6 linked regions of the Oryzias latipes genome follow. The protein of the gene in region 2 interacts with the protein of the main gene of each other region in a pairwise test. Links are inferred from orthologs where the notes say so. Each region holds a gene or a part of one and is shown on either strand. Other genes may lie near its edges.

Region 1 (5,716 bases), on a different chromosome or scaffold from region 2:
ACCGTAATCGGTTGTAAAATGGACACGTTTGAATCTGTGATGGAGAGGAGGACTTTAAATAAGCTGGTATCCATCATGGATAATCCTGAGCATCCTCTCCATCCTGTACTTGACCGTCAGCGGAGCTCCTTCTCCAATAGGCCAAGGCAGCTTCGCTGTCACACCAACCGCTTCAGGAGATCTTTCATACCTCACTCCATTGGACTCTATAACTTGTCATCCATGTGCAATAGATAAACTCATTTAAGGTCTGTCTGTTTTTCTCTCCTGATGGGTCACACAATACAACTGTTCTTTTTCACTGATGTTTCTTTCTGATTAAAGGCTGCAGGATTTACGTCAAACCGCTCGGTCCAGAGGACCGATCCAAGGTTCTGGTTGTGAACACCATGAAGGACTTTGAGAAGTGTTTGATCACGGTCGTCTGAAACAACATGGAGTAATAAACCAAAGAGCCAAATAATTTCAAGAAATATGACACGTGGATTCCCCACTTTCTCTGTATGTCTGACGTCACCTGAATAACAGCAGAGAGTTCTGACCTGCAGACAACTTGACCTCAACTTTCACCGTCGCTGATATCAGCTGAAGAAGGATATGGACCTGAATCTAATGTCTGCAGTCATAACATCGAAGAGAACTATAAACTCTGTTTTGAACCCAGAAGTACGGCTGTTATCAGTTAAAGAAGAAAGACCAACCTTGGACAATCGACAGTTATGGACCCTTTTTACTTTCCCCCTACAGCATTACTTTATTATAAAAAAAATAATAATAAAAATACAAAAAAAATATTTAAAAAAGTAAAACAAATGATTAATGACTTATTGAAAATTGTTAAATTGATTGCCTTTTAATGATTTTATTTCACTTTCTCCAAAAATTGATAAATTGATTCAAAAATCTTTCCTAATGTAGCATAATTTTGCACATGTTTTTAACTTTTGATACTTGATGAAATTTTGCTATGAAAATTCCTGAAACAGTGTTGTGTCTACTTTACTGATATAGTATTATGTTTTATTCATATGAATGGCTTTTATAAGTAACATAATCTGCATATATTTCAGATGACTGATCTGCATTTGCCATGTTGATTTCTAAAATAGTTATTTTTGACGTAATACTTAAGTAATTCATCTTTGTCATGTGCTTTATCGATATCTTATGATTTTTAATTCTGTATGATATAAACTGGGAACCGGATATTGATAAATCATGTAATAAAATGGTTACAGTATAACGGGGTGGGATTATATAAATTCGCTTCCTTCCACTCCCTTTCAAGCAATATTTATTAATATGTATAATTATCCTAAGTTTGATTAGTTACTGTATGAATGTATAACTGATGATTATATTGCTGTTGTGTATTATTTCTACTTAATTGCTTGAAATAAACCATTTCAAATAAAAAAATAAATAAAATTGTTCTGGTTCTCTGTTGTCATCTATTGTTTGTATGTTTGTACCTTGAGCCTAACGCCGACGCTGCATCAACCCAATTTCCCAAGCTGGGATCAATAAAGTATATTTATCTTAAGATCATTTTGTAAGTGATATTCTTGATTCAAATGGAGAAATTCTTCAGTTAAGAGACTTCAAAGGTAAATATGATATTGAATGCTCAACCGAGGAATTTCAGAAAACCTGCTGAGCAATTCCAATTGCTTCAATACATTTAATAAAAAATACAATATTGTCTTCCTATGTTCAAATTAAACTACCAAATTTAGTAATAGGAGAAATAAAATTTAGTGAAAAAAAACGTGATAATAAATTGCTAAACAAATCCTTTAGAGGTAAATTATACCATGACTTTAACAGAAAAGTGAAATATAAAATAACTGAGACACCTGTCACATCAGATGCTCAACTATGGAAATTCATAAAATGGCCAGTGGTTCCCAAAATTAAAGAAATGCAGTTCAAAATTATAAACAATTATTACCCATCGGCAGAGACATTGAGAAGTAGATTTGGCTTTGAGGTTGATCCGTGTGATTTCTGTCAGGTAACCCCAGAAACAACCCAACACCTGTTTTTTTCATGTCCAGACCAGTGAAAGATTCTGGCAAGATTTTCATAATTGGCTTAGTCAAAAAATTAACAACATACAATTCACAGAAAAACATATTTTGTTTTAAAACAGTAAGTTGCCAAAAGAGCCAACAAATAGTGAACATCCTCCTGATTTTGGGAAAATATATTCATAAGCAAAAGTGGAAAAAAGATCGGCCGAATTTCCTGTGTTTTAAAAATGAAGTCAGATTGTATTTATCCTCATTGAAATGTATTCACAACTCAAATTCTTTCATTGATGACATTTGTAAATCTGCTACAGAATGGTTACAAATCTAGGGTCCAGATTGTTGATTGCCTTGTATTTTAATTTATGCTGATAGTTTTTTTTATATATGTATACATTCTTGTTTTTTTTTTATCTTTGTTTTTCGTGAAGAGCTGTGCCTTGCATCATTGTGTTGTTGTGTCTGCCAGAGTTTTGTAATGAGTATATTTCAATAAAAAAAAAAATTAAAGCAAATTTTATGTCTCTAGTCTAACCTTGATTTATCAGCAAGACGGTAATAAAATATCTTAGAACAATAAACAAGATTTACTTGATACGAGTCAGATACTTATACTACTTTTGACACAAACGTGTTAAGGATTATTTGATTTACAGAAACCTCAGATCAAAACTCTTTTGGAGCAACCGGGTATCCCTTACGTTAAGTGTTTATTCCGTAACCGTCAAAAATGAAAACCGGAAGCTAGATTTTCATCAGCGAAAGTACAACAAAAAAATAATGTTGTGAATTGTTTTATATTTAGACAGTTTTACGTCATGAATCGTAGTAAAACCTTCAGACATTTACCTGCTAGCTCGTCTCCCCTGTGGACTGCGTGATCTGTGTGGCCTGCTAGTGCTACTCGGGCTCAGTTTCTCCTGCTTTATCTTCACTTCGGGCTGCCGTTCTGGAGACTCCCTTCTTCTGTCTCGCTTTTCTTTAGTCATTTTAGTTTATTTTTCCAATAAATTTGAGCTCAATTCAACCAAAACACGACACAGTAGCTAGACAAAGACAAGCCAAGATAAAAAATAAAACCTTTGATGCGTTACCAAACTTCTGGCGTTGTGAAAACAAACTTCCGTTTCCGGTGACTCAAATTAATCCCCTCGACGTGCTCCATGTGCTCCCTATTGTTGGTTCCGCCATGGCCTAATTCGTTTTAAATGGGGAAAACGTGATGTTCAAGTTTTTTTTGTCATAGACTGAAGCATTGATGACACATATACGTGTCGTATTACATAAAAAGTATTCTTAAATGAAACTTTGTTCAAATCAATATTATTTTATTTTGAAAAAGTGTCGCCATGACAACACAAACAGTGAAACGGTATTTCTAACAAAACGTGTAACTTGCTCTCTCACCTCAAAACGATGACTTCTTTTGGCGAGTCCCTCTTGAAATACGATAATCCGATATTGGTAAAAACAAAAGGAGATAAAAAATCTCAAAAGGTAAGTCTTGATGGTTAATGATCTATTTAACTGGCGCCCAGAAACTATATCAATTAAGGCTAGAAATCTCATTGTACTTCCATAATTTCTTTATTGTGGACAATGAAAGGCTACCAAATAAAATCTTCAAAAATAATAAAAGAAATTACAAAAAAATAATAATACAAATAAATGTACAATTTTCCCCCCTTTTTTTTCGTTAATAGGGACGTACTCTAACGTTGAGCAACCTTCCAGCTCCCAGCTTTGCAGCAGGTGTTCCATCTCCCCCTACACAGAATTTGGATGAAAACATTTTGCATGCCATCTTACCACCTAGGTAAAAGAAAACCTCAAAAGCTCACCTAAGCACAACGATTCAGATTTATTTATTCTAGATTCATTATTATTTATTCTTCTTCCTAAGTTATGCAGACAAACATAGACTGTGGCATGCACCAGAGCACAATGACCATCCTCAACTTTTATTTCTCAAAAGTCAAATCTGGGAAATCAAATAAAATCAGGCTTTTTTTTTGTAAAACAGATGCTTTTCATGCCATGTAACTCAAAAAACTTTAAACAACACAGTGGAACAGCTACAGTTGGAACAAATGTAGTTTTTATGTGATCCAAAGATCACCAACAAATCCTAATGTCTAACAAGGAAAAGAGGAAAGGTCCTGTAGCTCAGTGAATGTCCAACTTTCATCAACTTAAAAAGATCAAGTCTTGACAGCAAATATTGCCCACAGGTGCATTATCACACATACGTCTGCTTTTTACTTAATTCAAAAATAAAAAGCTGACACACAATCTAAGATCCCGAAAGCATCCAAAAGTTACTGTCAAATGATTTTCCAAGTAAATTCTGATTTCTTACCATTACAGAGAATGGACAGAGGGGGACCAACAGTGGGTGCAGAAAGTATCTACAGCCATTACCACGAGGAAAGATGTCATTCATCTGCAGGAGCAGCTGAACATAAAGCTAAAGCAGAAAAAGGCCAAACCAACTGGCATCTGCCCCATCCGCTGGGTTCTGTTTTCCCAGTGTTTCGGTAAGACAGCGGAGGGTCGGGACAAAGCTCATCTCCGAGTAAAAATGTGGATAGTTATGAAATATAAATGTATTATGCATCTTATTTCCTTTTTGAGATGAACTCATCAGACAGGTAACCATTGAATGTGCGGAGAGAGGTCTGCTGTTGTGCCGGGTCAGAAATGAGATGCAGATGATGATAAGAGCCTACCAAAACTTGTCTGAGAGCAGCATTGCTTTTGGGATGAGGAAATCACTGCACGGTGAGCAGGGCAAGGAAGAAACACAGAAAAAAGTAAGTTTTTTTCCCGTGTTAGTCATAAAAAAAACCTGAAAAACTCCCATTAAGTTTATGAAAAAAATGATTTATCTTAACTGAAGCAAATAATTACGTTAGATCAAAGTAAAAAAGTTTATCTTTCCAACATCCATATGTGGTCTTATCACCCTCTCATGGTGGAAAAAGTATTATCTGAGCTTTTTCATCCACTAAATCATCTTCAAATGGACACGCCATGCTGCTTCACCTCTCTGTAAACAAACTAAGCTTCAACTAAACCTGCTCCGGACCAGGTTATGTTCAGAGCATGAGTTGCCATGGTAACTTGACCTACCCTGAAACATACCTCCATTTCTGGAACCGAAAGCTGAGGTTATCAACTTTCTTAGCCTCAAACTTATCGTGGGAGCTAGCATAACCTGCTTTCTGGAATACCCCCCTGGAACCTGAGGCTCTCGAGATGCTGTACAAACGCCTATTTTATCCCCCCACTGTGGATCCTTTATTTGAATTGATATTCCATCAATTTAAACAAATAGGTTATTATTTTTGGTTCATTTGTTTTAGTTGATTAGGTTTTGACATTTCTTTTTTTTTATTTTTAACATGCCAAATTACTGAGCATCATGATGGTAAACAATCAACTTTCAGAGTTGTTTATTATTAGAATAAGCTTAAAGCGCATCTTCTCAAGTTGATGTGCAGAGGCAAATCTCCTAAATTTGAATCTACATGTTTAAATATATTGTTGGAATTTACTGAACGCCAATGTTGTCATTTTTATATTTGAGGGTGAAAGGAGAAAAAGGATGACGAGGCACCAAATCCAAAAAGATATAAAATGTCAAGTATGACTTTCTTACATTGTAAAATCAAGCAGATTTACAG
Region 2 (5,810 bases):
AAGAAGAAGAAAGGTGTTAGACGACCGCAAACGACAACGTATAGACAGACAGGCATGTCACTGATCGCCCATCCCAGTCTGAAGACAGCCGCCTACCCGGTCTAACGTTCTGATCCGTAATTAACAGAGGAGGCAGCCGTAAGGCACTCCACTCTTTAAATGACTAAATTTGAATCGTCGTGATGTTCTAAATGAATTTAAAAGTGTGATGTCAATGTGGTAAAGGCTAAAGTGTTGCTAAAGTGACAGTAAGTGTTGAATGCGAGCTGCTAAACTGTGTGGATTCCCTGTAAACAACAGACAAGCTGGGGTTGATAAGATGAAGCTCTGAGCTTCACAACTACAAGGTGAACTCTAGCGAAGTCGAGTAACCTGTGAAACGGAAAAATGCTCCACAGCCTAAGCGGCTAAAGTAGGGGGGGTGGGAGAAGAAAATAAAGCTATAGTCCATCTTAAATTGTTCAACATTTCTGCAGTCCACCCTGCTAATTCAGCAAGAGCGAAGAGCATTCTAGCAAGGCATCATCATCATCATCATCATCGTCATCAGGCACTCCTTGTGTCATGTAAATGCTCTATGCTGTAATACTCATATGGAGAAGGGTTACGATAGAGTAGTGGCAGTGAGTACATCTCTCTTGCAGGACGTCCCCACTCCGACAGATCAGGTGCCCTTCCTCGTCGTCCCTCACACTCAGTGCCCGCGTCCGGCTGTTGCTCCTCTGTTTTTTCACCCAGACCGCCATCAGCAGGTCACAACACGACCGGGGGGGGGGACGCGGGGGTTTCAGTGTTGGCACAGGTGGATGAGGAGGGAGGAGGAGGGTGGTGGTAGTAGTAGTAGGTGGATTTCGTGGTCATGGGGCGATTCACGCATGACAGCACGTGAAGGAAATAGATAACGATATAGTGCAAGGAAAGTAAAACATCATTTGTCGTCCTCTGCTCCTCTCCCCCCTCTACCTTCCAAACCATGACTGCTCACAAACAAAGAAGCATCTGGCATTTCCATTCATCATCTCAAACCAATAAAAACAGGCATTTATCAAAAAAAAAAACTTTTCAGACTGACATTCTGGAAGAACGATGGAAGAAAAAAGTTACTGAAGGAGACCAGCTCAAGCAGAAATACTTCCAAAAATGAACCACATCCATTTTTTTTTACCTAGGAGTTCCTCAAGTTAAACTACCTTAAAGGTGTGGTTTAATTAACAGAATAAAGAGAAAAAACAACTAAAAGGGCAAATTTGTTAAAGGCTACTTATGATTTTTGAAAGAACATTTTCACTTTTCTATGCAATCTTAGAAATCAACTACCACTACAAAATAAAAGTTGATTAGATGTTTAGGAATAAGAAACCTCCAAAATTTGGTCTAAGGAATGACTAAGATGTTATTGCCAAAAAATGAAAATGCCCTGAAAACGGAATGCCAATTTCTGCAAAAGTGTAATAAAAAAAAAACAGAACAAAATCAAATCATAAAATATACTACTTACCAATTCCACAAGCTGTAAAAAAAGGAACGGTTAGAGAAAGAGATAGACTAAAGGAAGAGAAGAAAGGTTGAAGAGGAGAAGATGAAGAAAGCGCTAAAGCACCGTCTCAGACATGGTCGTACTCACCGAGGAGGATTGGCTATAGGACCTGGTTTTACGCCGCCTTCGTTTGTGCTTACGCCTGCTGCCTTTCCTCTGGTAGGACCTTTCCCGCTCTTTCTCACGGCCGCGTCGGTAGTCGTACAAGTTGGGGGAGAATTCTCGTGGATAAAAGCTCTCAGCTGTGCCGTGGGGCTCCCGGTCCCGGTCTTGATCTCGGCTGGGATCGAGTCGTCGGTATCCTTCACAGTATCTTCGGTCGTACGGTCGATGCTCCATTGAGCGATTGTCATAGCTGCGACTGTACAAGACAAGTAAAAACACAAAGATTTGCATCAAAAAAGGAGATTCTTTTGAAATTTGGAGAGGAAAACCAACAAAAACTGCAGCTCTTGGAGACAAACCTCCTGGTTCTTCCATAGCTTCCGTTGGGTCTGTGTCCCCGCCCTCTTCGGTCACGCTCTCGGTCACTGCTGGATGAGTAGGTGGGTGATCTTCTGTACCTTTGTCTCCTTCCTCTGTCTCGGTAGCGGTCCGGGTAGCTGGTCCGACTGTCTCTGTCAGAAGACGAATACCGTCTTGTGTAAGGCATCTGCAGGAGTGAGAGAAAGAAAACCGATAAATCCACAGAAAAACCATCATCAGTCAAAACTGGACAAAGACTTATATTTTACATGTTGAATTATATGAAAAGATGAATAATCTTGGTATCAGATTTATGAGGAATCCCAAACATATATTTTAATCCAAGTGTAACTGGGTTGGGACGGCTTCCTCAGAGATAGCTGCATTGATTGAGAACATAAAAATGTGTCACGAGACCCCGCAGGAGCCACACGGCAAACCTGCAGGAGCAAGACTGCAATCCAAGCAGGAGCCAGACTGCATTTCTTCAGGAGCAAGACACTAACCCCGCAGGAGCCAGACTGCATTTCTTCAGGAGCAAGACCGAAATCCCCAGGAGCCAATCCTGGGGATTGCAGGAGCAACACTGCAACAACCCCAGAAGATCCAGACTGCAACCCCAGCTCCTGCGGGATTGCAGGAGCCAGAACTACAATCCCACAGGAGCAACACTGCAACATCAGAGGAGCCAGACTAAACCATCTGCACTAACTCCGAGCAGCAGAACCGCCTCCGTTAATAACAGACAGTTCATTTAAAAACTATCAACACTAAAAATCATAATACAGTGATAATGAAGAGCAGGACGCTCTGAGTTCCCGTATATTTAACAGCATTTCTATCAAGTTTGTTTGAACCTTTGCTAAACCAGATCGTTTAATTGACGGGGGAAAAAATCCGAGTCCTCCAAGTAACGTCTGAAACATGATTTGATTTGTTTACTCTTAAAAACGTTAAGATCGACAAAAAAATAACCACCGCACCCAAACCTGGTGATAAATGACACCAGAAAAAACGCGTTCTATATAAATTCAAGATATCGGTGTTTAGTTGGTAGCTACTCCATGCTAGCATCTTGCTAATGTAAATAACTAGACCGCCATCTTAGCTTAGCTGGATTTATCAGCTCCGTAACAGCAAGCTAATGTACAAACTGCCGTCAAACTTGGAAATAAATGACACGAAAGAAAGCTAGAAACTATTTACCGTTTTAGCAGCGAGGCCTGTGCGTTTATCCCATAAGAAATCCGTGGTGGCGATAATATTTCTCGGCAAAATTCTTGCTAGCCTGGTGCTCGGTTGGTGTCGTCCGCCTGAGGCCCGCGGCAGGCAGCGCAGCTTCTGCTTCAAATTGCTGCCGCTGGCCCCGCCTCCGCGCGCGAGGACGTCTCCTCTTTCCAAAATACTTCCATGACATTTTAGGAAACCGTAGTCCTTTCTAATCTGGGATTAAATCATACTTATCGAGATTAATATTGTTTTATTTCCATGGAAGCGAGTTTGCAATAGAATGAAACTTAAAGAAAAAGATTGGGCAACAAATTATCTAAATCTGGTCATTACATAAATACATTTGATTTTGAGGTAGTTTAAACTTTCACATCTGGCCACATTTTAAAAAATGTATTTATTTGTGGCTGCTGTTCCTTGTTGCTTCCCCAAAATGAACAATCAATATAAAAGTAAATTTAACGTAATTTAAAAATCCCAAAATAAATTTGTCCTCATGTTTTCCAGGTTTAAAATGTAATGAAAATCGTTATTTCCATCCAAAACACAGCAATTATTTAGATCTAAAGTAAGAATAATTCATTTTAATTAATGAAAGTTCCACATTTGCTCTTGTTTTATCTGTAAGTAAACTGTTTTCCAAACAAACGTGGTTTTAAATAAATAAAAACATTTAGTTTGAATGAAATCAAAAATGGATTTAAAAAGTTTGAGACCTTCACATTTTTTAATGTTTAAAAATAATGAAAACCATCTTTTGCGTCTTTAACACAAATACAGACCAGAATCAAAGGGATTTTTATAAATAATTGTAACAAGAACGGACGGTTTACTAATGAGAGGCTAACCAGTACATTAACATTTTCAAAACTATAACAATAAATTGGAATAAGATTAATAATTGCAGATTATTTGAATTTATTTTGATTTTTTTCATTTATTTTTTCAGTCATAAACAGCAGATGTTTTGCTTATAATCACATTTCAGGCTAAAAGAAGAACAAGCAGAAAAATAGACATTTTATTAAGACTAAAAACTACATTAAAGTAAGCATGAATCCATAATTAATGTAATACAAAGTGAACAAAAAGTGAAGTAAAGCAGCGTAATGTCCACAGATGCTTCAGATGTAGATTTTACTTTTAGAGACACTAAATAAAATCCATTCAACTGTTCACAAGGAAGTTCCTCGATAACAGCGCACCTCGACAATTAATGTCCTCCTTCTGCAACTTCTTTTCTGAAATAACTTCAGACACATGTTGATAAACACGATCAGGTTTTCTTCTTATTTTTGGACATCATCCAGCGCCTCAGTTTCAGCATGTGCTCCAGCCGTAAGGAGCCTCTGTAGATCCACTCTGTGTGCCCGTCACTCTGGGAAAGACCACACAAACCACAAAAGCTCACAAAAAAAAGGAACCACACAAAGATAACACTAGAAACTAGAAAGATCTGCATTTCCAGAAGAAAATGCAGGTTTGAATGCTATATTGCTGAATGAAAATAAAATTTAAAGGCTAATAATTGGAAAAATAATTCATAAAAAAGAAGGAAATCATCAAAGTTGACCATAAATAAAGTGAAAACAGCACAATAATCATAAAAGATATTTTTGTGAAAAATGCCAGAGCCGGGTCTCGAACCAGCGAGCTTCTGCACCAAGGATTCTCCATGTATTTCAATGGAGGCAAAAATCCTGGAAATACTGGAATATCTTGAAAAGTTCAAGGATTTGAAGGACCAAAAGTCATAGCTGGAAAAAGCTGAAAGAGCCGAACATTTTAATAGTTGAATGGTTAAAATAGCTGAAAAATGGAAGGAGTTAAGCAGCAAAAAAAAGGCGGAAGATACTATAATACAGAAAGAGAAACAGGAAAACAATGAGGGGGTGCAAACCTGGAAAACGACTTTCAACAAGCTACTGTCGATGAGCAGAACCTTGCAGTCCTGCTGGGTTCCCCGATGTTCTGCCTTCATGACCTCCCCAACCTTGTACTGGCTCTGGGGGGGGAAAGGCCAATCCTGCAAGTACTGCTTCATGAAAGTCCAGTGATCCTTGTCCTGAATGTCATCCAACGGGTCTTCCACTGTCACAGGAATGGGATAATAAAGTTTTTATTGGGATCACAACAGAAACAGAGATGTGAATTCCAGGGGAAAAAAAAAAAAAAGAGACATGTTATCGCTAAATTCAGCTTGGCTCCAAATCTGCTTTTTTACCTCTCCGCTTTTCAAACATGTCAGATAGTGTTGATTTTATTTTTATTCTATGCTACATATTTTAGTTAGCTTAAGAATGGAAACAGTTTAAGACCATGTTAGCCTATTTTTAGGATGTTTTCAGGACGATTTTTATCAGATGTGGAGGACCTGATTGGATTTTACATCCAGTCAGTAGCCGTGGTTACATGGACAAAAGTAATCGGAATGAACGCCTGATCAGAACCAAAATGCGTCATGTGACCACACCGTTCAGAATACTCGGCGCCTGTCAGACTCGTTCGGATCAAAATTTGTTTACGACTGTCCTGCGCATGTTCAAATGATTTGTTCCGACCGAAAGTGTGGCGTATG
Region 3 (5,740 bases), on a different chromosome or scaffold from region 2:
ATCCATATTGGTTCAGGCCTTTTAAATCATAAATCACATCATCATTAGAAAACTGCTGAATAAAGGCACTTTGTCAAATAACAGCAAAACATGTCAATGTCATAAATCACTTTTACACCAATTTGTCTCTTTACCCATTTACTTTCAGGAGTATTATTAGGATGATTTACTTGCTTGCATCCCTTCTTACTGGCTACAAATTGCCCTAAAAATAATCAAAGCTGTAACAAACCAAAACAAAGGAGAGACAATTTCAAACATTACCTTCTCCTCGAGTTGGTTGAAAATGAACTCAATGACCACATCGTCTTCAAATCCCAGAATCTCTGTCACACGCTGAGTAATCCAAGGTTTGATGACTTCTAGGTTCACTTTGGTCATGTCCACCTGAGGGAAACCAAACAAATCGTCAAGTAAACCAGTGACTAAAGACAAAACAGTCCATGTTAAAGAAAGAACAACATAAACATTTAAACTTGAAACATGTATATATACTCATTATTTTTGGACCCATATTTCTACACATTGATTTTAAGACTTAGAATAGAATTTAAAGTCCTACTTTGATCATCTTTTTATCTTATGTAAACATGTTTCCAGTGGTCTTTTCATTATGATTGTGTTGTTTATAGCCAGAATTAATGCATTAATAATAATAAATAATAGTCTTATTGTTTTCTAGTACATAATTCATAGTATTAGTTCATTGAAATGTGCTTCCATGTTGTGGACGGGACTGTTGGTGCTGAGTAACCCTCACATCTTCCCGTCATCCATCTGCGTGCTTTGCTGCGAGCTTACAGCCCCTCACAACCCCAACCTAACATTAGTTGTGCAACCAAAATGCCGAGCAATATTGGAGCTATCCAGTCGTACAGTTTTGAGCCAGATGCCAGCTCAGACGACGAAGACAAGAGACGTACACGATTCTAGTTGTCCACAAATGGACACATCAGAATGGAGCGCAGCAGAGAACTTGTATCCTGCCATTGGATCTTCTGTCACACCTACAAGCTTTTCCAAACAGCATTCTTTTATTCTGCTCCTGATTAGGGTTGATCGATGTCCCTTAAATTGGTCGTTGACGATGTTTGCAGTAAACCATCGGGATGGACGATGATATCGCCGGGGGATTTTTAATTTTTCATTATTATATAGTTATTATTCATTATTTCACTTTATTACTTCATTTATTTTATTTCCCAACTAATGACTCATCCGCGATGATCCAGTATAAACTGAGGGAAGTGACTTTAACAAACAAAATAGAAAATAAGTAGTCCGCTCCTGCACTTGATTAGTCAAGTGGACCGAGCGACCGTGTCTCTGAGGAGACGGACTTTGTGTTTGATGGGAGGATGCTTTGTTACGTGTGCGCTATGTGTGGGAGACTTCGGACTGCGATCTGTCCCACAGTTCTAGGTGAACAAGCTACCGGAATCAGGAGAACCGGGTCTAAAGTGTGTGTCCGGTCCAGAGCTCGGACCATCAGCTCACATAGCGGCTTTGGGGCGGTGTGTGAGCTTTTCAAAGCAGAAATGTCGCTCAGTCCTTAGAAACCGTTCAAACAATCACGTGGATTTGGGTTTCCAGTCGTGTCCCGACAAAGTAAAGGCTGATGTTATGCCCACATATTTACGTGCAGCCAAGATGCAGATTGCAGCGTTTCCCGCATGGATTTTATGTTCATCAAACAAGGCTAATGTTGTTAGCGCGTGTTAGCCTCTCTTAGTCCTGGCTTTTTCCAGCTTCGTTCTTCAACAGAAAAAAGCACTGACCACACAGATTTAAATTAAAATGATGAGCAAACAGGCGCTTCATAATAACCCTAACATTAATAAAAGCACGTTTGGAGGATATCTCGTATATTACCGAGCTGCCGGATATCTATGTATGTAGCCTCTCAGCGGAACTCATTTCCTCTTCCGGTATTTCAAACACTACTGCGCATGTGCGAAGGATTTATTCCAAATGAAAGTGTGACCATGTGAACGTTTGTTGTAATCAGAAATGTTTTTCTGGGCCCACGTACACGGTTGAATTCTAATCCGACCATTGATCCGATCAAGATATTTTGCACATGTAACCGCGGCTTATGGTGTCGACTCGCAGCGTGGCGGGGGCGTGGCATCACGATGGTGACATCTCCATGGAGAGACACCATCGGCACAACCGATGAACCAGAAATGCCATTTGAAGATGAATTTTCTTTCTATGGGTCCTCCAACATGATAAAAATGCCACAGGAACGTGTTAAAAAACAATTTTCCTTGGAGTGGGTCTTTAATGCCCATTTTACAGGCTATTACATGATCATAGTAAAAAGAGGTGGAGCAAGCTCCAAACATTTCCCTCCCCAACTATGTCCTCCCAGTCAAGACATGACTTTTCTCCAGGCAGGCTGTTTTTACATTTTAATGTTCCCATGCAGCCAGTGAACCAGCAGTTAACGTTAACTACTCTGTTCATCATGGGTGTGTCAAAGTTTGCAATAGTTGGTTCTTATTGGCTAAACTAAGCCAACTGAGTTATCACAAGTGGAACCAAGAAGGCCATCTATTGTGACATGGACACTTTATTAAAACAGTAAACAAGTTTGTAATAATTAAAAACCTAACCAAGTTAAAAACCTTTTTAAATTCTAACATTTCAATGTTATTTTATATATTTTATTATTATTGCAGACATGTACCTTTGAGACCAGTTGAGACAGCAGGAATAGCTGAGATTTATCAGTACAACCAAAATAAAAGTTCCATTTTCAAACTTTCAAAACTAGAAGTTTTGAAGATATGTAATGTACAATCAAAACACATCATATTCTGATATAACAAAAAAATACCTTCTTGTCCAGACATTCTGCAAATTTCAGCTGCTTCAGCAGTTTCTTCTGCTTGTTGCTGAAACGGTTGTCTTGCTCCGCACTTGTACCCTTTGGAATAATGAACCAGCAAGGTTTTAATAAGACAAAATGTAAAATACATGATACACCATGCATGTAGGAATCTTGTCCAGAAAACGTTTAAAGCACCGTTTAGTCAACAAACATTTTAGGCTAATAAACACAAATTTGCCTCGTTCAAAATTATTCGTTTACAACAGTGGAAAAGGGGGGCTCGACGCTGTGGTAGTAATCTGAGCTCGTGAATCTGGGTCATATCGTTGATACGCATAAATTAGCTTTTGCTAAGCTAACTGTCCTCTGAAGTCCTCGTGGCTAACCAAAGAGACACATTTACCGTCTCTGGTATAGAAAAATTCCGGAATTACATCGTTATGTGTTTAACAAAACAGTAAGAAGCCAAATGACTGTTGGCTAAAGTTCATATAATGACAACCGTGACTCTTTCGGGACGCACCGGTTAGGCGCCATCTTCGGAGAAGGCCAACAAGTTAGCTGTGGCTTGCTAGTTGTGTCTGGCCTAATTCCTGATAACTTGACAGCAGATGAATATCAGGTTTTAAAATACACCAACATAATAATATTACATTATTAGATCAAAAAGGCGTCGATATGTAGTGTGTCATTGCAAATTGTTTCTACGGCTTAGTTTAGAATAAAAACCTCAAAGGAGAACCAATGCTTATTTTCGCACCAGTTGATAGACGAAGCCCTGACTAAGCGTGCCAAATCTAGCCGAATGTCCCTCTCTGCCTATAATAATGCGTAGCATTTAAGGCACATATCAGATCAATATACAATTCAGCAAGACGGTTGCTACTGTCAGAAATAAGTTTACTCCACTTACGCGGAAAAATCCCGCGTCCATTATCGGGGAAAATGAATCGTTTCAGGAGCGGTTGAAAAAGACTTGCAAGGCTTCGGTGAAATCTGAAGGGAGAGCCGGATGAAGATAGCGCCTCGTCCGGAAAAGATGGGTACTGCACTCAATTTACAGTCTTCTTCTTGTGGTTCAAATGGCGGGAGGCACCAACGCCAAGGCTCATTACCGCCAACTACTGCGTTGGAGTGTGAGTCGGACTTAATAGACTAGTATAATAGACTTAGTACACTAATATACTTAATACACTAATAGACTTAATAGACCACTTAATAGATTTGGTCCTAGACTAGGTCCTAGTCTATTAAAAAAAACACATTGTCCTCAACAGTCTAGTTCTCTTAAAAAATCCAATAACAACTCAATTGAAATTATGCTCCCCTTCCAAAAGCCTCCTCAAACTCAGCCGCTCTGCCTCCGGCAACCGTACTCCATCCTCCACGTGCTTTCTTTCTTCCCCATACAATTCTCAGTAACACAAAATGTGCTCCACTGATTCTTCCCCTTTCCCACAATCACAGAGACCAGTGTGGATGTTTCCCCAGTAAATGTAATGTATTATTTAAAGCAGTGTGTCCCATCCTCAATCATGATATAATGATTTGATCTCTAGTGTTTGACTTAAGATGCACCTTTCCCTACCTTTTGTTGTATATTAAATATATGTCGTCCTTTCCTCTATCTTTCACATTGTTTCTGCCAGTCTTCCATAACACACCTCCTCATAATTGTCCTAACTTCTGTTCTTCCCAATGGAAATTCTATCTACACACCCTGTTTCAATGCCCGCTTTGCCAGAAAATCAGTTTTTATTCCACCCCCATGTGCTGGTACCCACATAATTCTGATACCGATATTCCATTTCTCCAGTCTCGACACAATCTCAAATCTCATACATTAGATCTGACCTGCTGTCGGAAGAAAAAGATTTCAAAGACATTACACCATCACCAATTCTTTTCTGCTCTAACATGCGTAAACTAAATGATATTGCCAACATTTCAACAGCAAAAACGCAAAGATCCTTTGATGGCTTAATTCCGACATACTTTCCTAATTTTGGGATACAGAAAGAAAAAACTGTCCTCTTTGTTACTGAATCTTCAGATCCATCTGGGAATGAGTGAAGCATGAACCGTATTCAACCTGTCTGCTGTGATTTCATCCCAATTCCCTTTGCTAACATCCATCTTCATATGGAGATAAAAATCAACTTGTACGGTTGGAAAAACCCAGAAAGGAGTGGTACAAAAACGTCTTAACTGGGTCCTATCATAAATCTTTGTTACTCTCTCCATATAGATAATTTCCAAGCAACACTTTTGTTTTCCCCCTACAACTCTCCCAACAGGGAGCACTTCTAATTATGTGTTCTTCTACTGCACTGTAAAATGTATATTCACCCAGTAAGTGACCAGCAGTTGTTTAGATCTGAGATTCAATGGCGGTTCTCCCATATCTAAAGCTGTGCACTTGCTCCAATACTTTTCCATATAGTTTTAAGTCTATAACAGTTTGCCGTTTTCCAGTAAAAAACATGCATTTTGTTTTAGCCACTGAAAATCTGAAGCCCCAATCATAGGATCAGTTTTCCACCTCCGTAACTGCGTCTTGCACCTTTCTCTTTACATAACGAATATTCCGTCCCCTCCTCCACAAGGCTCCGTCATCTGCAAATAATGCCTTCCCAAATTCATATCCGATGGCATGATAGATTTCATTTATCATAACTGAAAACAACACACAACTGAAAACAACGTACAGTCATTTTTATTCCCTTTATAAAAAAAAACATAGTTTTTCCAGATTAACTCATCTTGCAGAAATACATCAAACCATTTTGAGTACTACTTTGCACTACTTTTTAACGGTACTTGCATTTAAAATTATTTTTCTGCTGTTTCTTCTTGTTTTTTTGGTCAGAAAAAGCATTAAAAAGAAACTTTCCTTTTTAAAGA
Region 4 (4,538 bases), on a different chromosome or scaffold from region 2:
TACACCGCTAAAGACGAGCTTTAGCTGGTATTTTTGTTAGAACTGAGCGACTTTACGAGCTAAATCGGGACAAGGAAGTGAAGACTTTAACCACTTCTGATTGGTCAGACTGATGACATGTGATTAAGCCCCCCAAGAATGATTGGTGGAGACAGTTAAAGGGGCGGGACTTTTCCAAAATACAGCCGAAGCTGCAGCTGAATCGCGGTACTGTACCGTCATTCTTATCAATATGTCTTTAATAAAATAAAATAAACGCAAAGAAAAAGTATTTTACGATCTTTTATATTATTAACTCCTCAGAGTTTTATCAGGGCCTGTTTGGATGAACAGAGAGCTGAAATCCTGGAGATGGGAAATGTTTTTAGATCAGTTAATGAGGGGAATTTCCCACGGCACACTTGACCATCTTCCACGGCACACTAGTGTGCCGCAGCACACTGGTTGAAAAACACTGTTCTAGGTATTTCATGAACAACTTGGTGACATATTTCAACGTGTATCTTTTTCCATTCTTCAAGAAGAACCTCTTTTACAGCCTGGATGCTGGATGGAGAGTGATGCTCAACTTGTTCTTCAGAATTCCTTACTTGGGTTCAGATCAGGAGACATCCTTGACCAGCGTTCAAAACCGGTTGTCCGAGACAACCAGATTTCAAGGAGGACAACCAAAATGAACCTGATGGTTGTCCGTGTGACAACCTGGTCTTTTATTCAACATTTTGGTATTTTTCGACTATTTTTCAAGTTTCACGGGTTAGTTTTTGGTAACCTCTGAATTGAGACGTATGCAGCTAATTCTTTCCACCGACAAACGAAGTGCATGCATCATGCTAACGAATCCTTTCTGTTTCTACATGTGCACTTTTCAATAAAGATTTTTCAAATAGAAGTGTTGAACAACAGTACCTGGCGCGACCGCTAGAGGTCTCCAAAAACACGCAAAAAGATTTAAAACACATTCATAAACACTATAACTTTCACTCATAACAGAACAGACTGACATGAGCTGGAAAAAAAAACTTTTTCCATGGGATTGATATAATATTCTAAATTTTTTACAACAGTTTTGGTATTTTATATTCTTTAAGGAACAATTATCAAAAACCAAAGAAAAAAATAACCAATATATTTAAATCTGTGTAAAGATACTAGTTATAAAGATATTGGTTTCAAGTTTTTGGCAATACTTTGTGTAACCAGATGCTTCAGTATTTAGTAAAATGTTTGTTTTTAATTTTAAAGAGTTTTTTAAATGTCCATCATAAGAGGCAGTTAATATTAGATGTATAGAAGAAATAAAGATGTAAGTACTGACATCTGAGTAGGTTTAGTTGCTGTTGAATTCATTGGTATCGAAGGAAAACCAAAAATTGGGGAGGACAACCAAGTTTACTTGCCTCGGACAACCATTTTTTCCCCCTTATTTCTAACACTGTTGGCCATCCAATCACCTTCACCCTGTTCTTCCGAAATGCAGCAGTAGCTTCAGGAGTGTGTTTTGGATCATTGTTGTGTTGGAAAAGTGCTCCTTGACCAAGTGCATAAAGTGATGGCAGCATCTTCTCCTTTAGTATAGAGCAGTACATTGTTGAGTTCATGATGCCATCAATGAAATGCAGCTCCCCGACACCAGCAGCCCCACATCAGCACACTGCCACCACCATGTTTCACTGTAGGCACCATGCATTTTTCTTTGAAATTCTCACTTCAGCAACACCATAGTTTTAAAACCATTAGTTCCAAAAAGGGGGATCTTTGTCTCATCACTTCAGAGTATTGAGGCCTTTATCTTTTTTAGCTAATTCTAGACGTGCTTTTTTGTGCACGGGCTTTGGGAAAGGCTTCTTTCGTGGACAATAACCATGCGTGCCATTCCTCTGCAGCGTGCGCCGGATGGTGTCACGGGAAACGGTCACTCCAGTTTGGCGTTCTACTGCTTTAGCTAACTGCAGTGAACTACAGTGGCGATTTTCTTCAACCTTTCTCATCAGAAGACGCTCCTGTTCAGATGTTAGCTTCTGTTGACGGCCTGGACGTCTCTGTAAGATGGTTGCACTTCCATCTTTCTTAAATTTTTAGATTACGATCCAAAAAGCCCTTCCCATTTCATGCTGTCTCCGATAGCTACCCATGGAAAAGAAATGTCACAATATCTGAGAAAGGACAGGCTTTTCTTTGGTTAAATGCTCTTTTCTAGCCACCTCTGTGCTGTACACGTCTTAAATGAATCAGTAGACTCACTTGTGGTTGAATGCCTGATAATTAGAATTCTGTAGTCTTAAGTTTGGCTTTTCTCCTAAGACTCTGACTGGGGTGTACTCCTTTTTACAACGTGGGCGTGACCTAATTTGTTAGGTCAAAAAACAAAAACACACGTTTTTGTGTGCAACTTAAAATATCTGGTTTGCAATCAATGGTCCACCTGTGTAGAAAAATGTTAATTCCAAAAGAACACTGAAGGTTTTCGGACAAATGTAGTGGGGTGTCCTCATTTATGCTGAGCACTGTACATGAACGACATAAGATCTGAGACAACACCCACCGTCTGGGTGAGCGGCTGCGTCTGTAACGTGGCGACGGTGAGCGGCGAGGTCTGTCGTTGTCACGGTAACTCCGCCTGTGAGGTTCGGGGGAGTGCAGTCGCTCTGGCTGTGGGCACGGAAAGCAAACACGGAGTTATAACTCCTGCAATGATATTCGGCCAAACCAAGAGATCAACACATCATCAAAGGCCGTTACCTTTTCGTCCTCCTCATCTTCTTCCTCACTGCTTTCCACTTCATCCAGGTCTTCCTCCAAAGCGCTGACCCGAGGGTCCAGCATCTCTGCCTCCTCCAGGACCTGCCTCCTCTGTGACACACAGGAAAGGATACGATGACTTTATGGAGGAAAGGGGTCACTTGTTTGTTTTTACTCAAAAATTCTCAAAGACAAAACTGTTGTTACATCTTTGTTCATTGTTATTTGTTACTGGATTGGCCGTCACGGGACATACGGCATGACACACAAGCGCCATTACTACACATTGAGTCTTCACTTGTTTGGTGAAGAAACGACGAGGTCCAAAGTCCGCAAAGAATTACAAACGGGGACACGATGTATTGCAATGAACCACAAAAATGATGACAACAAAATAATTTATTACAAAATAATAAAGGAAACACATTTCAAAGGTTAGTGCTCGCATTTTAATAGAGAGAAATCAGGCTGGGAAGCGTGAGGTGCAAGTAGCATTGATGTTTATTTTTAATCAATGTTTGATTATTTTATCTTTTAATTTATTGTTTGTGTGTTAGCCTGGGGGCGGTGCTGGCAGTGCAGACTCTTCCTGCCCCTTCGACTGTTCTCCACTTAATGATGTCACAATGTGAGGACCCGCTCGTTTTCGTGGGTTAGGAGGCGCCGGTGCTCAGAATGCAGATTTTTAGAGGAATACCCAGAAATGCGTAAACGGATCAAAACACCGCTTTGGGGTTTATAGTGAGAAATAAACATTACAATACACTTAAAAGCTCAAAAACCTGATTTTGAATGGTGTAAGCCTTTTAATGAAAAACAAAATCCAAATGGTTACGAATATGATTTGAAACCGATTAAAGTAAATATAAAAACACAAAAAAATTCCTCTTTCAGACACATTTCTCGGTAACTGTGTAGAAAAACTATTTGCCCTAATTTCATTTCTATCCAATGCTTTCCCCATGAACTAAAACATAAATTTGAGACAGACTACAGAGCTTTCGGAAAATATAGACACCCCCCCCAAAAAAAACTGGTCCAGTAGCTTCAATAAAATGTATAACTGACAGTTTTTTTCTTTTAAAGATTACAAATTTAAAATGCACTATTTAAAAGATAAAACAAGTATGACATTCTAAATCTACAACTGATAGTTGTACATTACTGTACAACCAATTATGAGTCAAAGGGGGCTTCTGGGAAGTTACCCACCTGAAGTCGAGGAAGGATGATGTCACACACTCTCTCTGCGTGAAGAAGTTCATCTATGAACTCGTCGACGTGCATCAGCTCAAACTCTGCATCAAAAACCAGAAAAATCCATCAACCTAACAGAGCTTCATGAAGGCTTACATGTGTCACTCCTTGTCCAGGTCTGGATCCACATGTCAGAGTCCGCTCAAAGGAGGAAGATGCATGAAAGCTCAGTGTGAGTCCAAAAGCATGTGGGAGGAGCAGCAAGGGAGCTTCCATGTTGGAAACCTGATCTTTTTCTGTATGCAAGCCAAAAAATGAATAAAGATGAGAAAGATTCTAATCTTCTGTGTCTTACCTCCATTTCTGTTCTGGGTCTTAATCTTTCTGTAGTCATTGTACAGCGGTTCCAGGTATTTGTAGCAGTCCACGGCGGTGCCGGTCAACCGCATGTACATGGCTCCAAGAAGACGGACATATCTGACAGACGTGACACCAAACGGTTATGAAAAAAATCGGAAAAAAAGCTAGAAAGAATTTTTTTGGTCTCTGGTCATTTTCATCTGTTACCATATCTTCAGGGGTTTGAAAAAGACACATTA
Region 5 (5,015 bases), on a different chromosome or scaffold from region 2:
ACTCCAGTTCTTATCTAATGTTTGTTTTTGTTTTAAAGTAGTAAAAAAGTAACGTTTTAAATAGGCCCCGCCCTCCTTTTGACCCGCACTCACTGTCTGAGCAGTGGCTACTCACCCCTCCCTCTCTCCGACTGCCCCTCCCACCCTCATAGAGCTAAACGTGGCAAATTCATTAAAAACAAACACCTTTTCAAATGGCAACTTTTCTATATGCTTTTATCTCCATAGCAACCATTGTAATTTTTGGTCACCTGGGGGTGACGTACAGGTCTATGTAATTTTTACAAGGATAGTCAAAAGTATACATTTGGATTTCCTTGGCAACAGAGATTTTTTGTTAACCACACCTGTCTTCCTAATACTAACTGATATCTATCTCATATTGTTTGGTTCAGCTTGAGCCAAGGATTTATTTGTTACATTTTCACAACATCCTTGTAAAAAATTATTCACCACGCCATCTTCATTAATAGAACCAACGTTTTTTCCATGCAGCATCCCAATGATGCACGAGGAGTTAAGAGGTGATAGAACAAAATTCCGGGGTGGAGTTTAAATTCATTCGCGATACTAAAGGTGATTTTTTTTTCTTCTCTAAGAAGACTCTCATTCATCCAGGTAGATTCCATCATAGTAGTAGGTTTAAAGGTTGTCATCTGGACTTAGTTTTTAAAGTTAGTTTTAAAAGTTTCTCTTTTAGCCAGAGAGAAAGGATGGTTTGAGCGAGGAGTGAAAGAAGCCATCTTTGTCAAGAAGGATAAACCTTCTTTCAATAAGAATGATGGTCTCAGGTTTATTCTTCCATCCATCTACAGCAGTGTCCTGAAACCCAAACAAACCGAACCGGTTTCACCTGGGTCATTAACAGCTGAAAGAGATGACCAGGTTGGGGAGGGTAGCCACTGTCTCCCCAACCCCAGCTGAGGACAAAGGACTCGAGTTGACAATACCATCCAGTTTCAGGTCTGACTCCTCCCCCATGAGCGCATATAAACCAGCTCTTTTACCAGCTGATTTAGAATTGACAAAGCCTTTTGGATAAGAGGTGAAACGTCTTCTAACTATAAAAACTGAGTCCAGATGACAACCTTTAAACCTACTACTATGACTTGTTAGTGGATGTAGACTTAACCTGGTGGCGTATATGTGTGAAACTTTGTGAAGACCCATTGAGTGTGAAGAAAGGAAGTTTTCTTTTCTCATATTATGGGAAAATGTAAAAATTTGGCAATGTGGCAAATAACGGCCGCCAGACCGTAGTTTCTGTGACTATCCCACAATAATTTTAAAATTTCCTTTGGATATCCCCAAACCTGTGTTTTGGTTTCATTTGTGGATTTTGAAGTAGTTTTTTGAGCCCCATAAGAGATTTCTGTCCCGTTCATTTTTTTTGTGGATGGTTTTTCCTGCTGTGATGTCATCAATTTTGTTGTTTTTTGGGGTGTGTGTGTTGTTTACTATCCACAAATTCATTTTCACCGGGTACTAGCGGTGTGCAAACTTTGGTGCATTCTTAAATTTTTACCCAAAAGGCGAAGTAAGAAAGAAGAATTGCTAAAAACAATCTGGTGCGTCAGTCCAGGACGGCTGTGGGACAGAATCCTCTTCAAACCGTTAGAATGAGCGCAGGACGCCAGCAATAACCACAGACCTCAAAAAACCCATGGAGGATCCCGTGAAAACCGGTGGGAAGAGGTTCAACATGAACCCTCTCAGACCTAAACAAGAACGTCTGACCGACCAAATCCACAACCGAATCTTCATACCTGGATAACGTTGCTGTTGGAGTTCTTGGAGTCCGTGCTAACGAAGACCGTGAAGAAAGGCGACGTGCGTAGGCTGCCCGACACTTTTCGCAGGACCTCCTGGAAGTTGTCCTTGTCCCAGGGTCCATTCAGAGCCCAGCCGCCTAACTGCAGGAGAGCAGCAGACCGTGATTCCTCCAGAGCACAGCCGACATGACAGACGGCGTTTCAACAAACATACATGGCTGATCAGCTGCTGGAGAGGCTTGGCTCCTAACTCCTCAATCTTGGACTCGTTCATGCAGGCCTGATAATATCGCTGAGCCTTTTCTTCAGCTTTACTCAAACCCTTCATCGTTGTGTTTTCTGCCCAAATTAAAGCATCAAATCAATAAAAAAGCAGAGGACACCACAGATGAATGTTCACGTTACCCCAAAGGCTCAGATCCTGCCTCTTACCTAATAAATGCTTCATTACAAGCATATTGTGCTCCCACAGGTTGCTAAAAGGACCCCACCGGGATTTCCCCTCAGGTAGTGGGTTGTTCTTCACCCACCCCCCACAAGCAAAGTTGTAGAAGTCATGGCAGGGGTCCACAGATCTGTCCAGGGCGCCCATGACCGCGCCGGCCACGGTGATACACGGTCCCGTCAGGCACGAGCCCGGGTGACCTGTCGGGGTGGGCGAAAAGCAACGTTAAGGTTCTGCCGGAGGCTGGAAAAAAAAACACGGCTGAGAATCAGAAAAATATTTCATGGGAAGCTCAAATATGCACGAGGGTTTTCAGAGCATCTGGAAAGAATCATGTAAGCCAGGATGCACAAGGGAAAAGCCGCCTCTGTAAAAATCCTTTCTAAATAGATGGTTCAAGGAAAACAAAAGAGCCACGATAGACGTGAAATATCACCAGCAGACGCTTCCACCTGTTTAATCATCAAAAAAGGAGCTCAGACTTTGGGTGAACCCATCCAAATTCCTCAGGACTGTGTAAAGAGGTGTTCTCAGCGATCTATCTCCACAACAGAACAGTCTGTCCACGCTTGGCACAGAACAGACATTAGGAAAAGTCACGAGCAAGGATGAGAACAGCCTGTCCCAGAGGACCTTCATCCTTGTTCCTTTTATTATTTCAAAGTGTGATGTGACATGCGATGCTGAATGGAAGGAAGTGGTACTCTGTGAGGAAACGGTCGCTGATGAGAAGCTGCCAGGATGTGGTGGTAAATCCACGGAACGCTTCCCATAAAGAACACGCTCGGGGAGGAACCTCATGGTCGCTCTGTTAAAGTTCAGTCAAAGGTGGAGTTTTTAAAACAAAAAGTACAAATGGTTCCAATGCTGTTTGAACAAACAGCAGTAAAAAATTGAAAAAACTTTCAGTAATTTATTTGCCAAAATAACAAAAAATAATTAAAATAGGTTGTAATTAATCAATTTAATCTAGTCTTGGTACATATTTCTCCTTTCTAATCCCCCAAACAAGTTATTTTATGAATACATTTGGACAGAAACGACATTAAAAAGGAGCCATTATATATTTTTTATATTTGTGTCAAACCAAAGGCTATATTCAAACACTTTCATTTGGTTTGGCCTCATTTAGGTTGAAATAAAGGTATTTAGTGACCTATTTATTCCTACAATAGCAATTTGTTTTCTTCATTTTTTTTAATCTTTCCTTTATTTCTTCCTAGAATAACACAAGAAAACACAAGACAATAGGTCATGGGACTAATAAAGTATATTTATCTTGTTATGTAAGGATTGTCCTGCAGCATCTTTCCTCCAACCGCTTCGCTCTTTTAAAGACTGATGCACATGTTTTCCTGACAGAAATCTTGTGTTTAACGTTCTTGTAGGCTTTTTCAAATTGACCAGGTTTCTTAACCTTCTCTAAAAACACATTAGGCTGCTTGAACTCATAACTTAGCTTCTAGCAGAAAGGACAAGCTGAAGAGATCAGCGTAAAAGGACGAAGCTGTAATAACCTGCAAACCTTCCTGCATGGGAACTTTGTTGATGCAGAAGCTAGGCTTCTTGTGTGCACGCGTCTCCCTAACCCCAGGTTCTCGCTAGCATGACATTTAGGAAACCTGGAAGGCTGCGGATGCAAAAGGAAACACACTTTGGACTGAGGAGGAGGAGCTGACTCCACAAAGTCAAGTGTTAAAGATCCCGGTCAACGAAAGTGGTGTTTTTGGTGATTTTAACATGTTCTTGTAGCATTTTTCTGATGATGGAGGACAGATATGAAGAAAATCTAGATTTCTGAGTATTTCTTTATTCAAATCTACGTACATTTATTTGTAAAACTATTCGATTTTTGTAACTTTACCACGCCACCTGGTTGTAGTCAGGACTGTTGGACTCGAGGCTTCGACAGCCGACAGCCTACTGGCTCTTCAGCCCCACCTGCTGCTGATTACCTGGATCAGGTGTGTTTAGTCAACAAGAGGGTAGGATTTGGACCCCGAGGCCTGGAGTTTGACACTCGTGCTTTAGAAAGTCCATTAATTCAAGATCATTTGTTTGATTGAAAAAAGGAAATCCTCATTTTTCATACTAATTGGTGGAGGACTTAGACGTGTAAATGAAGAAGAACAAACCAGTGAGTAAAGCTAAGGATGAGGTGCCACTTAATATATGGATTTATGATCTGTTTTCATCAAAAGCACACAGATGTGTTCTTGCGGAGACAAATGAGTGTTGCTAATGTCTATCAGGAGAACTAAAATAAAATACAGTTCTTATCTTGTTTGACTGTTTTTAAATAAAATATATGCCACTGTAAATAAATGCAATTCCAATAAACGAGCCATCCTGAAATGTAAATCTGACGGTTTTTCAACAGCAGAAAACAATCAGCTCCCGACCCAAAAGGATGTTTAAGGCTTTAGACGTTTCTGGCACCAAAGATAAAGATCGGGGCCGTGAGCTCACCGTTTTTGTAGAAAACTCCCGCACAGATGAGCGACACAAAGAGGACCACCGACAGCACGCAGACTGACAGCAGCAGCCTCCTCTCCCTCGGTGACTTGTCCGGCCAGCATGGAGACCCCCGGCCCTGCAGAAGGCTCACCTGCTCCCACACAAACGACACGCCGGACAAATGTTAAAAAGCAGAAACGCATCAACACGAGCCTCCAAATGCAGGAATTTAATCCTTTCAGTCTTTAAAAGGGAAATACGGTGAAAGCCTCTGAATTTGGCGACAGGTTTTGGAGAACAATGGTTCTCTCGTAACTGCATCCCAATCCGCTTACGCAGAA
Region 6 (4,200 bases), on a different chromosome or scaffold from region 2:
TGTGGTGATAATCTCTCATGTAGTCGTAGGACTGGAACAGGTAAGAAGCAAACAGGTGAACACAGAGGGGCCGTCCCAGTCAAACATCAAAGTGCCGGCACTCACCCCGTTGAGGAAGACGTCCCTCCTGACGCCCGAGAACCTCCTGCAGAGTTAACAACAACCTTTATGAGCCATTTCACAATAAAAGCCTTTGATTTCTGCCCCCCTTTTTGTTTCTGCTCTGCCCCGCCCACTTTCAGGTGACGTGGTGTGCCTCACCTGTCCACCGGCTGGTTCCGTGGGTCCTGGAGGAATCCTGAGAATCAATGATAGTTAAGAGATACAGTTTCAAACGTCCATACGGACCATTCCACTGTGAGTGTGTATGTGAGCGTGCACGTGGATGTGAGCCACAGCACAGTGAAAGTCACTCAGGTGTGTAAAATAATCAAAACCTCCAGGTGAACAACCTGCTCGTTGTACAAAGTCCGGTAGGCCGTCGGCTCGCGGTCGCTTCCTGCTGTGGATGTCGTACTCTTCCAGCCGACGCCTACGTGAATAAGTCCACAGGTAAGACACTTGCTCGTGCGCGCTCACACGTGCACTCACAGACACGTGTTCGTATGCACGAGACAAAACCTTCTGAAGGACGAAGCAGCATGAGCAGATCAGACCGGTGACCTCCGTGGTGGACCAGCACGGTTCTGGTTCAGGGCCTAAATGAGCCTGAGGTCTCACAGTGTTTGTTACCACGGCAACAAATCACACAGACCTGGAAACCAGGACCTGAAGAACCCCAGTGACACTGATCCTGCTTCGTCTGACAGAGTGTGGCCATCCAGAGGTTGCAGCACGCACGCACGCACGCACACACACACACACACACACACACTAATGCAAACACACGTCTGTGAAGGAACAACATACCGCTTCTGTCGTCTATGAAGGAGGGGCAACACTTTTTACACAAACAGTTTTTCTCCTCATCAGTCCACTTAAGTGCTTTTTAACCCCTCTTATTTTGAAAGGGTGAGGAGATGATGATGATGATGATGAAGTTCTGTCAAGCAACATAAATTCCCACTCCCATCAGCCCCTCCCTCCCTTCTCAGACTAGCAGTCCAAGACAAAAAAACTGTCCATTCCTTTCCACGCCTTCCTTCTCGTTAGCTCCACCCACCCTCCCATTCAGGGCCAGAGACCCCGCCCACAAAACAGTCCGTCCTTAACAACCTGGCTCGGAGTCCTCATTCTCTGCGTGTGCCAGGGGGGTGGGTAGGGGTGCGAGGAAGCATGGGGGGTGGGGGGCAACAGTGTCCTCTTGATGTAGGGCGGGGGGGGGGGGGGAACACCATTAGTCCAAGAAGTTCTTTTTTTTATTCATTTGTCCTTTATTTACCTCAAGAGGTGGGTACCCTGGCCCCAACAGTCCTCAGGCCCCACCCCCTGCCCCCCTTACCTGTTCCCCCTTCTCACACGGAATCCAGTCCCTTACTCTCGTTTTGCTTTAGCTCTACCTTGCACGTCCTCCCCTCACCATCAGTCCGGCCAGTGGTGCTCTTATTTTGAAAAGCCGAGCCAGTCCCACTAAAGCTGAATGGTTTTTAACTCCAAAGCACCAAACTCCTGCAAAGACAGAGAGCTTGACAGGACGTTTACGCCAGCGGAAGACTTCCCCTCAGAACTGATCAGAACTCAACCAGACGGGTTGCTGCTACGGCAAACACCACAAATAAACCTGCATCAGACGTTAACGTTACTTCCTGCCTGACCGTCAGCCTCCAACCAGACGCAGAGGGGCGCAGCGACCAACCACCACCTGAGCGCCGCCAGGTAAAGGTCGCCGTTGTATCCATGGTCCGGCAGCGGGTGGCACCGTGGTTGCAGCAGTACAGGATGCGGGGGAGGAGCTTGATGATTGGCTAACCTTCCCGGTTCTCTCAGTGGCGGTCGGCCTCGGGGCCGCGGCTCCGTCGGTGTCCTGCGTTTGTGCCGAATGCGGCGAGACACCTGATGAACATCCACACTCTCGTCCAATGGAAACAGTCCACAGAGTTGAGCGCCGACGTCCGGCTGGATCTCCTAAAAAAAGTCGAAGTAGGATGAGTCCGAATGAAAAAGCTGCAGAAGCACAACCTCCTGAAGCGGGACGCCACGGTGGGCAGACCTGTCCATCTCGTCCAATTTTGATCGGCTTGTGCTCGTTCCATGGGTTGGAGAGGTGGGCCGTCTTGATGAAGGGCAGCTCCCTCCTGTGGGCGACAGAAGCAAGTTCAGCAGTGGTCTCAGCCAGTTCCCACAGTGGGTAACCGCCACCAGAACCGCAAGTTGGAGTATCACAATTCAATGTACTCTGTGCTCTAACGGGAAGACTGCCAGAACCATGAGGATTCTGGGGTTGCGCGTATTTTTCAGGTGTCGTCCAACTATCTGGTCTACAACCACCTTGAGCCAGTGAACATTGGTCTCAGACAGAGGATAAACCATGAGCACAACCGTTCTCACCACAGCCGTGGGCAGGTTCTGCCACAGGCAGACGCCTTGGCGGCGTTGGACCGGGCTTCTACAAGCCCCATCTACTGAGAATGTTCTGGAACTGGCTATTTCAGGAGGTCACTACCTCCAGAACAGCTGTGTACCCGTACAACTGATCAAACAACCAAAGCACTGCTCACCTAGAGTCCTACTGTTAAATACAACCGGATCTACACCACGCGAACTGTCCAGAGTGATCATAACTGCCACCAAATGCTAATGTTAGCTTAGCCCTCGCCATCCTTCTCAAGCAGAAGTCCATGCTGGCACCATGCACGTCCCTGATTCTGACCAAGCCCACTTAAAACTGCTCTCCCAGTCACCAGGGTTCCACCAACACCCCACATGCTGTCTGGCTGCCCCCTTCAGGAATGCCCCACCACCCACTGATTCCAGCTGACCCCTCACAAGCTCTATCCATCACTGTCCCACCTCCAGGGCCGCTCCACACGGTCGGATCACGGTGCTGCTGTCCCAGCATAGACCAGCACAGCTGCCTGTCTGGTCCTAATCACCATTTACACATGCAAGCTAGGAGGATGAGGCACTAAAGTTTGGTCAACCAAACAACACCTGATTTAAAACCACGGTCCCCACTAAGCAGATGGAGAGCTCAACAAGCGTCACAGAAGTTGGCCAACAGGTGGCGCCACAGCTGGATTCCTGACCTTTAACAGCATCAGGGGGCTGTAAAGACATTTGGGTTCGTCAGTGTCCTCTTTACCCTTTTCTCCACTGCACTGACAATGAAGGCATCCTGAAAGAAGTATTCAATCCATTTTCTGTTTTTTTTTACAAAAAGTTAACTATTTGGTGTGTAGTGCAGGCCGTTGTCATGGTAACAGCTGAGCCAGCACACTGATCATTCCATGATGAAGATTAAGTTTGTTTTAAAGAAGCCAGCGCAGCGATACAGGACATTTAAGATATGTGACCGGAACTACTTTTTAAGCGTGCATTATCACTTTTAAGATGGGATAGACGACTGTGGTGGAACCTCTGAAACTTTCAAGCCAGCAGACTGAGAACCGAGGAACGTTTACCTGCAGAGCCAGTCGATTTTAAAGACTCCTCCCAGCATCTTAGCATTAATGCCGGCAGGAAGCACCCAATGGATGGGAGAGCCGCCATGTTGAGACTCTGAGGCCAGCCGAGCAAAACCTGGAGAGAACAGCAACGATAAACGAGACGGCAGGCAGACGAGGACGGCAGTCATCAGCTTTTCTGGCTTCACCTTGAAATTTTCCGCTTTCCCTCACAGAGAAGATGAGGATGACGCTCCGCGCCGAGCGAAACGCCGCGTTCAGCTTCTTCTCGTTGACCGGTAACGTGGACCAGACTCCCTGCACATGACAGACACAAAGATCAGCACGCTAACAAGAAACCCAACACCTCTGAAAGCTAGCAAACAGAAGACGGACACCGAGGCAGAGATGGCATCCCAACAGAACATGAGAAAGACAGACTCACTTTGGCTTTAGCCAGGGACACGTTCTCGTGGTTATTGCTCTTGATGAGGAAAAAGCGAGCGTCACGCAGGATGTAGCGCAGCTTGCTGGTGGGATCTGAAACGCAGAGAGCAGCTGGACGTGAGGGTCCGGCTTTGGACGCGCTTCCCGTCCTGTTTGGAGGGGTTCTTACTTTCCACGCCTTTACGAACGGCTCGCACAGACGACGACAGCT

Evidence for each region.
Region 1: the proteins of dual specificity protein kinase CLK2 (region 2) and snip1 interact in binary tests that used the Homo sapiens proteins (3 or more experiments, as listed by UniProt). The two-hybrid records come from large-scale screens. The link is inferred for Oryzias latipes from reciprocal best matches to the Homo sapiens genes CLK2 and SNIP1.
Region 3: the proteins of dual specificity protein kinase CLK2 (region 2) and srrm1 interact in binary tests that used the Homo sapiens proteins (3 or more experiments, as listed by UniProt). The two-hybrid records come from large-scale screens. The link is inferred for Oryzias latipes from reciprocal best matches to the Homo sapiens genes CLK2 and SRRM1.
Region 4: the proteins of dual specificity protein kinase CLK2 (region 2) and prpf38a interact in binary tests that used the Homo sapiens proteins (3 or more experiments, as listed by UniProt). The link is inferred for Oryzias latipes from reciprocal best matches to the Homo sapiens genes CLK2 and PRPF38A.
Region 5: the proteins of dual specificity protein kinase CLK2 (region 2) and ece1 interact in binary tests that used the Homo sapiens proteins (3 or more experiments, as listed by UniProt). The two-hybrid records come from large-scale screens. The link is inferred for Oryzias latipes from reciprocal best matches to the Homo sapiens genes CLK2 and ECE1.
Region 6: the proteins of dual specificity protein kinase CLK2 (region 2) and ythdc1 interact in binary tests that used the Homo sapiens proteins (3 or more experiments, as listed by UniProt). The two-hybrid records come from large-scale screens. The link is inferred for Oryzias latipes from reciprocal best matches to the Homo sapiens genes CLK2 and YTHDC1.

Annotation. Positions count from the first base shown.
Region 1 is NC_019874.2:23,603,391-23,609,106, forward strand, and holds the start of snip1 (smad nuclear-interacting protein 1), read right to left. Parts: upstream 3,324-5,716; 5' UTR 3,196-3,323; coding exon of another isoform or gene 3,125-3,195; 5' UTR 3,020-3,124; coding exon 2,880-3,019; intron 1-2,879. Other genes in the region: dnali1 (axonemal dynein light intermediate polypeptide 1), read left to right, coding at 3,447-3,527, 3,734-3,846, 4,398-4,567, 4,665-4,843. UniProt on the Homo sapiens protein: Required for pre-mRNA splicing as component of the spliceosome. As a component of the minor spliceosome, involved in the splicing of U12-type introns in pre-mRNAs. Down-regulates NF-kappa-B signaling by competing with RELA for CREBBP/EP300 binding.
Region 2 is NC_019869.2:6,674,549-6,680,358, forward strand, and holds the start of dual specificity protein kinase CLK2, read right to left. Parts: upstream 3,365-5,810; 5' UTR 3,209-3,364; intron 2,190-3,208; coding exon 2,002-2,189; intron 1,899-2,001; coding exon 1,625-1,898; intron 1,511-1,624; coding exon 1,499-1,510; intron 723-1,498; coding exon 632-722; intron 1-631. Other genes in the region: histone-lysine N-methyltransferase SETDB1-B, read right to left, coding at 4,509-4,610, 5,133-5,323. UniProt on the Homo sapiens protein: Dual specificity kinase acting on both serine/threonine and tyrosine-containing substrates. Phosphorylates serine- and arginine-rich (SR) proteins of the spliceosomal complex.
Region 3 is NC_019880.2:16,873,146-16,878,885, reverse strand, and holds the start of srrm1 (serine/arginine repetitive matrix protein 1), read right to left. Parts: upstream 3,881-5,740; 5' UTR 3,771-3,880; coding exon 3,750-3,770; intron 2,933-3,749; coding exon 2,843-2,932; intron 388-2,842; coding exon 265-387; intron 19-264; exon of another isoform or gene 1-18. UniProt on the Homo sapiens protein: Part of pre- and post-splicing multiprotein mRNP complexes. As a component of the minor spliceosome, involved in the splicing of U12-type introns in pre-mRNAs. Involved in numerous pre-mRNA processing events.
Region 4 is NC_019862.2:23,722,432-23,726,969, forward strand, and holds part of prpf38a (pre-mRNA-splicing factor 38A), read right to left. Parts: intron 4,417-4,538; coding exon 4,295-4,416; intron 4,041-4,294; coding exon 3,955-4,040; intron 2,854-3,954; coding exon 2,743-2,853; intron 2,653-2,742; coding exon 2,546-2,652; intron 1-2,545. UniProt on the Homo sapiens protein: Involved in pre-mRNA splicing as a component of the spliceosome.
Region 5 is NC_019863.2:31,114,162-31,119,176, forward strand, and holds part of ece1 (endothelin-converting enzyme 1), read right to left. Parts: intron 4,826-5,015; coding exon 4,687-4,825; intron 2,418-4,686; coding exon 2,205-2,417; intron 2,112-2,204; coding exon 1,987-2,111; intron 1,914-1,986; coding exon 1,767-1,913; intron 1-1,766. UniProt on the Homo sapiens protein: Converts big endothelin-1 to endothelin-1.
Region 6 is NC_019870.2:83,043-87,242, forward strand, and holds part of ythdc1 (YTH domain-containing protein 1), read right to left. Parts: coding exon 4,159-4,200; intron 4,083-4,158; coding exon 3,988-4,082; intron 3,861-3,987; coding exon 3,752-3,860; intron 3,679-3,751; coding exon 3,561-3,678; intron 2,235-3,560; coding exon 2,150-2,234; intron 2,065-2,149; coding exon 1,910-2,064; exon of another isoform or gene 910-1,909; intron 533-909; coding exon 453-532; exon of another isoform or gene 416-452; intron 299-415; coding exon 262-298; intron 146-261; coding exon 106-145; exon of another isoform or gene 100-105; intron 32-99; coding exon 1-31. UniProt on the Homo sapiens protein: Regulator of alternative splicing that specifically recognizes and binds N6-methyladenosine (m6A)-containing RNAs.